Saccharomyces cerevisiae S288C: one gene and its partners. Changing the gene in region 1 together with any one later gene gives a genetic interaction. Each region holds a gene or a part of one and is shown on either strand. Other genes may lie near its edges. The genes, in order: GLN3, AZF1 and POL1.

Evidence for each region.
Region 2: mutations in GLN3 (region 1) and AZF1 together harm fitness more than expected from each alone (negative genetic interaction), as found in Saccharomyces cerevisiae (3 studies listed by BioGRID).
Region 3: of GLN3 (region 1) and POL1, changing one enhances a phenotype caused by changing the other (phenotypic enhancement), as found in Saccharomyces cerevisiae (2 studies listed by BioGRID, with this or other methods).

Annotation. Positions count from the first base shown.
Region 1 is NC_001137.3:228,085-231,844, reverse strand, and holds the start of GLN3 (nitrogen-responsive transcriptional regulator GLN3), read right to left. Parts: upstream 2,051-3,760; coding exon 1-2,050. Other genes in the region: YER039C-A (uncharacterized protein), read left to right, coding at 2,364-2,582; HVG1 (putative GDP-mannose transporter), read left to right, coding at 2,640-3,389; FMP49 (Fmp49p), read right to left, coding at 3,014-3,394; Smc5-Smc6 complex subunit KRE29, read left to right, coding at 3,593-3,760. UniProt on the Saccharomyces cerevisiae protein: Positive nitrogen regulatory protein. Required for the activation of transcription of a number of genes (including the allantoin pathway genes) in response to the replacement of glutamine by glutamate as source of nitrogen.
Region 2 is NC_001147.6:531,915-535,674, forward strand, and holds the start of AZF1 (Azf1p), read left to right. Parts: upstream 1-2,160; coding exon 2,161-3,760. Other genes in the region: COPI-interacting protein CEX1, read left to right, coding at 1-1,879. UniProt on the Saccharomyces cerevisiae protein: Transcription factor involved in the diauxic shift. In the presence of glucose, activates carbon and energy metabolism genes, and in te presence of glycerol-lactate, activates genes needed for cell wall maintenance.
Region 3 is NC_001146.8:428,285-432,044, reverse strand, and holds the start of POL1 (DNA-directed DNA polymerase alpha catalytic subunit POL1), read right to left. Parts: upstream 1,959-3,760; coding exon 1-1,958. Other genes in the region: MET4 (Met4p), read right to left, coding at 2,292-3,760. UniProt on the Saccharomyces cerevisiae protein: Catalytic component of DNA polymerase alpha, which in complex with DNA primase (DNA polymerase alpha:primase) constitutes a replicative polymerase. POL1 has a role in promoting telomere replication during interaction with CDC13.

The DNA of each region.
Region 1 (3,760 bases):
ATAATCTATTGTTAAATTTGTGATTTGAGATAAACGAATTCGACTCCGAGTTCTGCAATTGTTGTGATAACAATGAGGTATGTGATTTTCTTGAAGAAGGTCTTGAGACACTCGGTGAATCTACAGGAGTATTAAAAATATCAAAATTTGGCTTTTGAGAGACAAAATTTGATGATCTTGAATTTGTTGAAACGCTATTGCTTGAATTCCAATTCTGTCTATTCGAATTCGTGTTTGTGTTGGAATTCACGTCCACTTGTTGCTGTTCGTGCAGTTGTTGCAAAGACGCAGCCATAAACGATGAGGAGTACGATGCATTGCGCGACATCTTTCTTCTTGGTATATTCATTCCTTGACGTTGGAAAGAATTTGATAATAGATTCTGCTGTAGAGGACTATTTGAGTTAAAGTTTGCGGACGATATAATTCTTGGTGAGGATGCGACACTATTTCCTGCACTTACATTATTTGTTGTGTTCATTAGGTTCATGTTCATGTTGAACTGCTGTGAATTAGCGCTATTAGGTGAAGGTTTTGGTAATATCGGAACAACAGATCTGGATGAAGATTTACTGGAACTTGAGGTGTTCGATGAAGTACTACTTCGTCTTGAAGACCTTCTAAAATTAGGAGTAACAGTGTTCGAATTGTGACGCATTAAGTTATTAGAATTCAAATTTGCATTGCTTGCTCCATTAAAATTTGCGTTACTACTATTATACGATTGGCTGTTCATGAGGACCGGGGAGGGGACTGAGTTGAAGTTATAGCCTCCCCTATTTACATTAAGGATATTATTAGTATTACCGATGTTGTCTCTAATGATTTCTTCAGGTATCACTCTAGATAAAGAGTTTTGTTGTAGTGATTTTTTCCTCGATCGTATGGGTTTAGCATTTGTAGTGGTTACTGAAGTTGAGGCAGTTGCAGGTGCACTTGGAGTATTTTGTGCAATGTTTGGGTCCGTTTGTTTGGCTCTCTTCTTTGAAATCCTCTTTTTGATAACGTCCGATTTTAAGGATAATGGCCTCATGGTACCATGTAATTTCTGGAAAAGACCGCAGGCATTGCAAAGAGTATTCCCCTCTGGGCTTCTCCTCCAAAGCGGTGTCTTGAAAGTTTTACAATTGAAACATTGTATCAGAGGTTTTTTATTTTGTCCTGATGGTTCCATATTGGATATACTGGAAGATACTGAGGCAGCTCTTTTGAAATTGGCCAGGGACGTGGACGACATTGGCTTGATAAGTGAGTTTTTTCTTACAGAATTTGTTGTGTTGGATGAAGATAATCCTATCGAATCGCTCTTCTTCAGAAAAGGATGCTGGATATTACTATTGTTGCTATTATTATTATTGGTAATGTTCATAGCGGATGAAGATGAGTTGTTGTTTTGTAGTTTGTAGATGTTGAAGGAATGGTGGGACTGCGCATTAGTATTTGAGTTGTTATTGATAGATGGCTGGTTGATGTTGCTGTTGGACGTGCTGGAATTATACGGGAACAGTGAGGATTTGGAGACGCTGTTGCCGAGGGAACCGTGGTTGTATTGCGGTATGTCGGAAGTAAAGCTGTTAGGAGCACTAATAGTAGCTGAACCGCTCGAGTTGCTGGGCGTCATGTTGAATTGGTCCACGTTAAAGTCCCAAAGTTGTGCAATTTCACCATTTTGTTGGTTGGATGCGGCTATGTCGATGGGCTGAGTTGTGGCAAGTGAATCAAACATCGCAATATCATCATCCATATGATTGGTAGCTGGTGTGGTGTCCTTGACCGTCTTAGTAGTCACGCTGGTCGTGGCAGCTGCTGTAAAAGGAGACACGAAGTCCGTAAAATATAAATCATCGGGCAGTGCCTCCAGCATTGAGTCGAATGTGCCGCCGTTTAATCCACTGGCAAATGCTATATCCTCCTCGTTTTCACCGGTGTTGCCACTACTCTGGCTCCTACTGTCACCAGTTTGTCTCGGCTCTTCATTACTTCGACCATGCACGTCCAGATGACTATTCAGCAGGTCGTACAGCTTCGAATTTTCGGGGTCGTCTTGCATTTGTTTGTTGGTGGGGGAAAAGGGGGCCCTGTGCTCTCTCTCGTCTCTCTTTCTTACACACTCTGTTATTGTGGGATGGGCTACTGCGCTGACATTAGCTTACCACTCTTGAACATCTTTCTCTGTCTTGCAAGATGACTCTTTCCACTCTCTCAGCATTGCCATGTCACTTTCTTTCGGGAACCTGTCCGCCGGGTAATAGAGCAAAAAATGTGAATATATCATATTAAGAATGTTTAAAGGGCCAGGTAGAGATAGAGTACAAGAATGGAAGGTTGAAAAGCTGTAAAGAGATCAAGAAGGTGTGGTAATTATGAGCAAGCATAAGCATGAATGGACGGAATCAGTGGCCAACTCTGGGCCGGCTTCAATCTTATCTTACTGCGCGTCCTCGATTTTGATGACAGTAACGAACAAATTCGTGGTTAACCTGGACAACTTTAACATGAACTTTGTGATGTTGTTTGTACAATCACTGGTGTGCACTGTGACGCTATGTATCCTACGAATTGTAGGCGTTGCTAATTTTTGATCTTTGAACAGGACAGATGTAAAAAACTGGTTTCCAATTTCTTTGCTGCTCGTATTGATGATTTATACGTCGTCAAAGAGCTTACAATACCTTGCCGTGCCCATCTACACAATTTTCAAGAATCTGACGATCATTCTCATTGCTTATGGCGAGGTCCTCTTCTTTGGCGGAAAAGTCACTTCTATGGAGTTGACGTCATTTATTATGATGGTCCTTTCATCTGTAGTGGCCACCTGGGGCGATCAGCAGGCCATTGCAATCAAAGCATCATCTTTGGAGGATCTCGATCAGGAACTTGTTGAGTCAACCATCTTTGTGTTGAATCCGGGGTACCTCTGGATGTTCACCAATTGTATTTCGTCTGCATTGTTCGTTTTGATTATGCGGAAGAGAATTCGGCTGACTAACTTTAAAGACTATGATACTATGTTTTATAACAACGTTCTGGCATTGCCTTTGCTGCTAGTCTTTTCCTTCATTATGGAAGATTGGTCCACAAAGAATTTGTCTGTGAACTTGTCCGCCGACTCACTGGCAGCAATGGTCATCAGTGGGCTCATGTCCGTGGGGATATCGTACTGTTCCGGCTGGTGTGTTCGTGTAACTTCCTCTACAACGTATTCTATGGTTGGTGCTTTGAACAAATTGCCCATAGCGTTGGCGGGATTGGTGTTCTTTGACGCTCCAAAAAACTTTTTGTCCTTCTTTTCTATCTTTCTAGGATTTCTGTCTGGCCTGCTGTACGCTGTGGCTAAACAGAAAAAGATACAACAGCAAAAAGTTCTAGCAGCTACTCTTGAGAAGTAGTACATTCTTCATTTGCTCAAGCAAAATATACATTTATATTCATTTATATGGGGTCTTCTTTGTATTTGTTTTAGGTTATTCCTTTTTTTATGTTACATATTATGTCAGCATCGTTTTATGAAATATATTCATATATAATTTTTCAAGTAAATAGCAATAAAGTGATAAAATTTTGTTAGACGCACAAAAGGGCAGTGTCACAAATGGGAAGCGTGAACTCATCACCGAATGAAGAGTTTGAAACTGTGCCAGATTCACAAATTTCAGGGTTTGATTCTCCTTTGATACCGACTAGTGTGGGAAGTTACTTTCGCGATGACGATGACGATGAGAAGGTGCATCCCAACTTTATTAGTGATCCTGAGAACGAC
Region 2 (3,760 bases), on another chromosome or scaffold:
TAAAGATTCTGTTTTTATCAATATTAAGGGAGAGTGGGTACTATTTGGGCTAGAACTTTGTTCAAGCAAAGAAGGATTAAGTGCGTTTGAATTTGCCAGTAGAGCGAGGTCATATTACAACATAATTGGCTCACAGTTGCCCTGTGAAGATCCGAATACAATTGATTCAATGGGGTTAGGATTGTTGATAAAGAGCCTTATGGCTCCTTCTTGTCTGCCCAAAGATTGGATTGTCAATGTAAATATGATTTCAGATGGAAAGATAACAATCGAAAACTTCAGAAAAAGGCTAGAAAATACAGAAACTTGGCGTTCTAATCCTTTGATAAACTTTTATCAAGAATTGAGGGAGTTGCATATAAAGGACCCACAGGGAAAATTGGTTGTGATGTCAAACTTGGAAAATTTGTATTTAGAGTCAAGAGAGATTTTCCGTAATTTAACGCCTGGAATGATAGAAAATTTTATTATTCCAGAGCTTTGTGAAATTATAAAATTATTAATGACACAAAGCATCAGTAGTGCTGCCAGCCCTATAGGCATGAACTTCAACGCATCACATAAACTAGTACCATTCTTAGCGATTGTTTTAGACCTAACTTCTGAAACGAACACCTTTCCAGTTGGTTTCAACGACCTTATCACCCAAAGTTTTAAACTGCCAGATAGGCAAGTAAGATTTCTTTTACTAATATACCTACCCAAATTAATAGGTCCATTGAGCAAATCAGAGATCTCCAGTAGGATATATCCACATTTTATCCAAGGTCTGACCGACTCTGATGCCACTCTTAGATTACAAACACTGAAGACAATTCCATGCATTGTGTCATGTTTAACAGAGAGACAACTGAATAATGAGCTACTGAGGTTTCTCGCAAAAACACAGGTTGATTCTGACGTTGAAATCCGAACATGGACAGTCATCATAATAAGTAAAATCTCAACCATATTATCAACGTCAGTTGGTAATCGCTCGAATATTTTAGCTACGGCGTTCACAAAATCTTTGAAAGATCCTCAAGTAAAACCAAGATTGGCTGCTCTTTATGGGCTTGAGAAGTCGATTGAGCTGTTTGATGTGAACACAATCGCCAACAAAATTTTAACAGTCATTGCCCCTGGTTTATTAGATAAAAGTCCCATAGTAAGAGGCAGAGCCAAAATCCTGTTCGAAGAATATCTGGAAAAATTGGAAAAAGAAGCCCAACTTATTCAAACAAACGATAGTACTGCAGATTCGGAAGATGTGAAAGATATTGATTTTGAGAATTACGGTTGTGATGAAGAGGATATGAATAAAGAAGACAATTTGTTAGCCGCACAATTTTTAAATAATTTACGTTTAAATTCTCCCTCAGCAACAACACCAAGTAACATTACCGAGAGCGAAATTGATTCCGCCCAGGATGGAAGTGGATGGGACGACCTCAGCGATACCGATGGCTTTATTACAAATGGTACCACAGAATCCTTCGATGAAACAACAAACCCTGTAACAACCGCAAGCACCCCAAAATTATTCGGAAAACCTATTAAAATTAATAAAAGTTGGAATGATGAGTTGAATGATGATGGCTGGATTCAAGATGAAAGCGGCCCATCAAAGGTGCCTCAAAAACACACAAGGCCACAAAATTCAACGTTGGCAAAATCCATCGCTCCTAGCTCAAGGCTTTCTATCAAGAAGAAGAAAACAACGATCCTAGCACCAAGAAACATTGCTAGTAACTCTACTGTTACCACCAAATCGTCACTGTCCAATAAAACTGCAAGAAGTAAGCCTATAAGTAGTATCCGCGGCTCGGTAACCAAGAAAGGAAATGTTGACGGCTGGGATGATGATGGGGATTCAGACTCCTGGGATACGAATTGGTGATCCCAAGACTTATATAGCCCTACGTATTGTAGAAGGATATATTCAGTGTTAATCGTTATTTAGAAACATTACGCCCGTGCCCCGCGATTTCGCTTCTTTGAGAAGTGGAGGAAAAGAAGGGTCCCTTTAATTCCAGTAGAAATGAAGCATAAGCAAGAAGAGTCATCAGAAAAGGGAACCTTGTAGTACTATAGATGGTCCCACAGAGAAATTAATTGGGACAAAAACAGCTACACAAGCGATATACTTCAAAAGATTCAGATATTGAAAAATTACCAGCCATGCCTCCTCCAACTGCACAGTTCATGGGCCCTACGCAGGCGGGACAAAATGAAAGCCAAAATCAATCATCAGGCGAAGCTGGGGAGCAAAACCAGGAGCATGGGCAAGGCCCTACTCCTATTCTTAATCAAAGTCAACCGGCTTCTTCTCAACCGCAACATCAACAACAAAGGAATGAGTCGATTTCATATTATACAAATTTCAACCAGCCACGATATTCCACGGACGCCTCTATCAACTCATTCTTGAACATATCTGATAACGTACCAGTAACAAGTACAGGAGGACCTAGTTCTGGCGGCGCCTATTCCAATCTTCCACGATTATCCACTTCAAGTACACATCAACCGCCAGACCTGTCGCAAATCGGACGCGGCTTTTCCATTGTAAACAACCTCTTCCCACAACAACAGCAGCTTCAAAATCAGCATCGGCAACAGCAGCAACAACAACAACAGCAGTCGCACCAGCAGCCTCCCTTCAAGACCCCTTCATTTTCGACGGGATTAACGGGAAGTTCTTCTCAATATCAATTTTTACCAAGAAATGATAATACTTCGCAGCCACCTTCAAAAAGAAACTCTGTTTATCTTGGACCTAATGATGGGCCTGATTTTGAATTTTTCAGTATGCAGCAGTCACAGCAACCGCAGTTCCAGCCTAGCAGTAGAAGAGAATCAAACTCTATGAGACCTCCACTGTTAATACCTGCAGCAACTACTAAAAGCCAGTCCAATGGCACCAATAATAGTGGGAATATGAACACAAATGCAGATTATGAATCATTTTTTAATACTGGTACAAACAACAGTAATTCTAATCAGAACCCGTACTTTTTGAGTTCAAGAAATAATTCTTTGAAGTTTAATCCTGAAGATTTCGATTTTCAATTCAAAAGGCGGAATTCTTTTGTTAGAGGTACTTTGGACCATAGCAGCCAAAATGCGTTTATACCTGAATCAAGATTAAACTCACTATCCGTTAACAACAAAGCTAATGGTGATCCTGTCGCGGATAATGTTACCAATAACATGAAAGGAAAAAGTAATGAAGTTGACAATGATGATGGCAATGACAGTAGCAATAACAATAACAACAACAACAACAACAACAACAATGAAAACAACAATGACAACAATAATGATAATAACGACAATAGTATTAATTCCGCCACCAGTACTAATATCCCAAACCAAGAGGACCATAGCCTTGCTTCTACCGATACCACAAGCAATAGTAGGAAAGATCTAAAAGAAATAGAACAAAGACTTCGAAAACATTTGAATGATGAGGATAATTACTCTAGTGCTATATCAAGACCATTGGATAAAAACGACGTAATTGAAGGCAGTGAGGGATTGAACAAACATATAGACGAGTCTGGTATGCAACCTAATATTATCAAGAAAAGGAAAAAGGATGATTCTACTGTGTACGTCAAGAATGAGATGCCCCGTACTGATCCCCCGATGAGTAAAGACAATTCTACTTCTGCTGAAGGAGCAGCAATGGCAAACTTTTCTGGTAAAGAACCTCCTATACCTGACATAAGTTCAGTAAGTGATGATGCTACTAACCTGATAGGTGCAACAAAGGTCG
Region 3 (3,760 bases), on another chromosome or scaffold:
TGCATTCTATGAGCTAAAACATCTAAGTAGACATTTTGCAAACGATGGCCTATGATAACATCTGGGTCTTCCACTTTTAACATAGCACAAAAACAAGATAGCATGGCCTTTTCGTTGTTGAACAACCTGACTCTACCGGGTAGTTTCTGTTTTGCCAGTGCAGCTAAACCTAATGGGAAACTAGTTGACTGAGGCGGCCTTACTAAAGTACACAAGTCGTCTGGTTTTATATTTTCAGGTATCGGTGAATCCAACGAGATATTTCTATATGCTGATAACGTTATCGAAACAATCTCTTGCTTATTTTCCTTGGGATTCATTAACGTCTGAATCGATAAAGATAGACATCTCAGATTAGGCATTGTCTTTGTTGTAGTAGGCGTGATATTCTGAGGCTTATCTACCGAAACTTCAACCGCACAGTGAGAAGCATTACGAATTGAATTGAAATCTGCTCCCTTTATATCTAACCAGCATGGTCCCATAATCCTATTTTGAATAACAAAACTTTCAAAAATATTGGAATTCCCACCAAAAACATGATAAAAGGTATCGCTAGATAAATCCGATGGAATGGTGTCTCGACTGGACTTCGGTGTTTGGTATGGAAGTAAGACTTTCAAATAATCACTTTCAGATGGAATGTCAGGAAGCTCAAACGAATATTTCATTTTTTGAGGTTTAGCGCGGATATTATCCAGTCCATATTTATCCATCAGTAACGGAATTATTTCCTCGTGTATATCGGTAGGTGTTTTACCCTCTCTTGGAAGGAAAAATAGCTCTCTACAGAGACCGTTGATTTGAACCATGGCTGACACACAATTATCATCCTTTAGTTTAACCTTACCAAATAAAATCAAAGTGTTGTTCACTTCACAGTAATCCAACCAAAACATTTGGAAAGTATCAGTTTCCGGATCTACCACATCTTCCTTTTTGACATTAACCGCAAGTGTAGCAACATCGGTGTTGCTCTGCAAAGATTTACTTGGAGTTAGTCCTTTAATACCGATTGGCGTTCCGGGTGCTGTGACAAACGGTGAAGTTGAAGGGTTACTTCTTGAGTCTATATTCACGCGTCTAGTTGTTGTCACACTTCTCATAGTTCTTCTTTTCAGAATAATATCTTCATCACTATCTTCATCATCTTCTTCATCAGCCAAACTTTGAGCGGATGGTGGATTTGCTAGTAACGTATCTTGAAGTACATTCTGTCTCTTTGTGGCTACTACTGGGGAATTTTCCACATCATCCAATAAATCCTGTACATCATTTGCGTAGCGCAGTTTCCTGCTTTGTAATTTTAACGGTGATGATTCGATTTCTAAATATTTATCAGTACTTGAATCTGGATCAATCTTGACTTTTTTAGAAATACCGGCATCATGACTTGACTCATCGTTTCCGTTAACTCTCTTTATTGACGATTTAAATTCACTAGTCGGCGAAGAATTTAAATTTTCCCTTAATTTGGATGGCAGTAAAATATTGGGTTTTTCTACTTCACCAGATTCAAACTCACCAAGAATGTCATCAAAATTATCGATGGGGATACTTTTTTTTTGGGATTTTTTTGCATGTGCTAGCAGTGTTGATTTGGAATGTTGAGTTCGCAGCATATCTGTAATCTGGTGGTCTTTCTCCCTTTTTATATTCTTCTTCCTTTTAGAATCCTTGCTAGCAAGGTTTCCAGTGTCTTCATCACTTGAACTGTTATCAACTTCCCTCCAATCTTCTTCGACACCACGATCGACGTAGCCTACACCATCGTCATCTACAACAAAATCGTCATGCAGCAATTCCTGGCGCTTTCTGGCCCTGTATTCTTTTTCGTCGATTTCGTCGTATATTCTGTCACCATCTGATTCGTCACCTTCGTAATCATCGATGGATGTACCATTTCGAGCGGCTTGCAGCTTTCTCAATTTTTCTAATTTTTCACTTTTAGAAGACATTTTCCACTGTTTATTTTATGCCTTGATACTATTTGGTTTCTAATAGCAGAGTGAAGACAGTTTTTTTTCTCGTGAGTCTGAATTGGTATGTGTTCGTTGTCTAGACCAAGAAGATATATATCATCCAATGAGTAAAGAATTTAATTCAGTAAAATTGGATACACGCGACGCGTTTTACTTATAGGCTAACAAAAAAATTTTAACGCGTTTGAATAGATGTGTGATGAATGAAGAATAGAGATTGCAGGCAGTACAAGAAAAAAGTTATATTTCTTTAAGAAAAATGCACGTATATATATATATATATATAATTAAACTGTATAGTCTGTTATTTTATTCTTTCTGAACCTTCTCAAAAATTTGCTTCTTTAAGCTTTCAGCTTTTTTTATTCCTTCCGTTTCACCGCTACTCAGAACTAAATTCTTTAAAAGCTTGTTTTCCGTTTCTAACGTATGTATCCGTTTTTGTAAGGATGCTGCAATTTCGGTCAGTTCATGTATCGATGATTCTAACTCCTTTTCCTTTAGTTTTTTTTTTTGATGAGATTTTTTCGACTGTATCAATAAATCTTCATCGTCGTCCCCTAACTCTTTCTTGATCAGTTGCTTCTTTTCAAAGCCGTGTAAATCTGCATCGTCATATTCATCGTCTTCATTATCAGAATACTTGCGGTCGACGGGTACTTTTTTATTTTTCAAATCTCCGGAGTGTGATCTTTTTAAACTATTTTCCTTGTGATCAGAAGAACTTGCATTTAAAGTTGGCTCGGATCGTATCTTGGCAATTTCGTCTCCACGCGTCGTACTTGACTTAATAACAGCGTTATTATGATGGACATTATCGTTTCCATTGTTACCGTCACTCTCTCTTGATATTTTATGATCGTTTCGTGAAGGTTGTCGTTGATTGTGAATATTATTACTTTTTGGATGCTTTATGCCCAGTTCCAAAATGGAGCTTAGAAAAGAAGCCTCTGCTACTACACCGTGCTCATTGAACGAAGGCGACGTTGATAAGGTAGTTGGCGCAGCAGTTTCAGCCGGAGAGGGTGGTATTAAGACACTTAAAAGTTCGTTGATGTTTTTTAGAATGGGTGCCTCTTGACTGTCATTGGTGTTGATGTTTTTATTATTATTACTGTTATTTTCCCTAATCTTTTTTTGATGATGATACGCCATTATTGCGGCTATAGCATCTATTTGATCATTGTCAAATCCCGCGCTGATCAACGAGTTATATGCGCCGTTGGGCACGTTGACCCTCGGTAATAGAGTTACTAAAACAGAGGTTGGTATAATTGAATAGTCAGGAACAGTTATATTGGGGGCTTTGTTGGAGCTGTTATTATCGCTGTTACTATCGACTTTGCTTTCCGAATGTTTTCGTTGTTGTGAAGAGGAATTTTGAGCAGAAGTGACATTGCTTAGGGGGGAGGAGCGGTTCGGTGTGTGTGTTGTCCTATGTAGTAGATTTGATAGCGCATCCACTCCATTGTCACCGGTAGTATTGTTCTCAGTTGATGTAATGTCAACATTTGTGAAGCCGCCATGGTCGATTGATGTCATATTAGTTGCGTCAGCGGGAAACTGAGAAGGGCTTCCCATAAAGTTTGGCTCAAAAGGATGGTTATTTTGCATATTGTCGCCAAAGTTGTTTGTTTCGCCGTTATTGCCATTTCTTTTGTTTTTGGACGAAAATCGAGACTTTGATTGGTCGTATTGGGAAGTTAGGAAAGTATTCCTTCTTTGAGTCAAGAAGTGAGGATTTCTTTGTCTATTATTGGTAGAAGGGTCCTCATGCA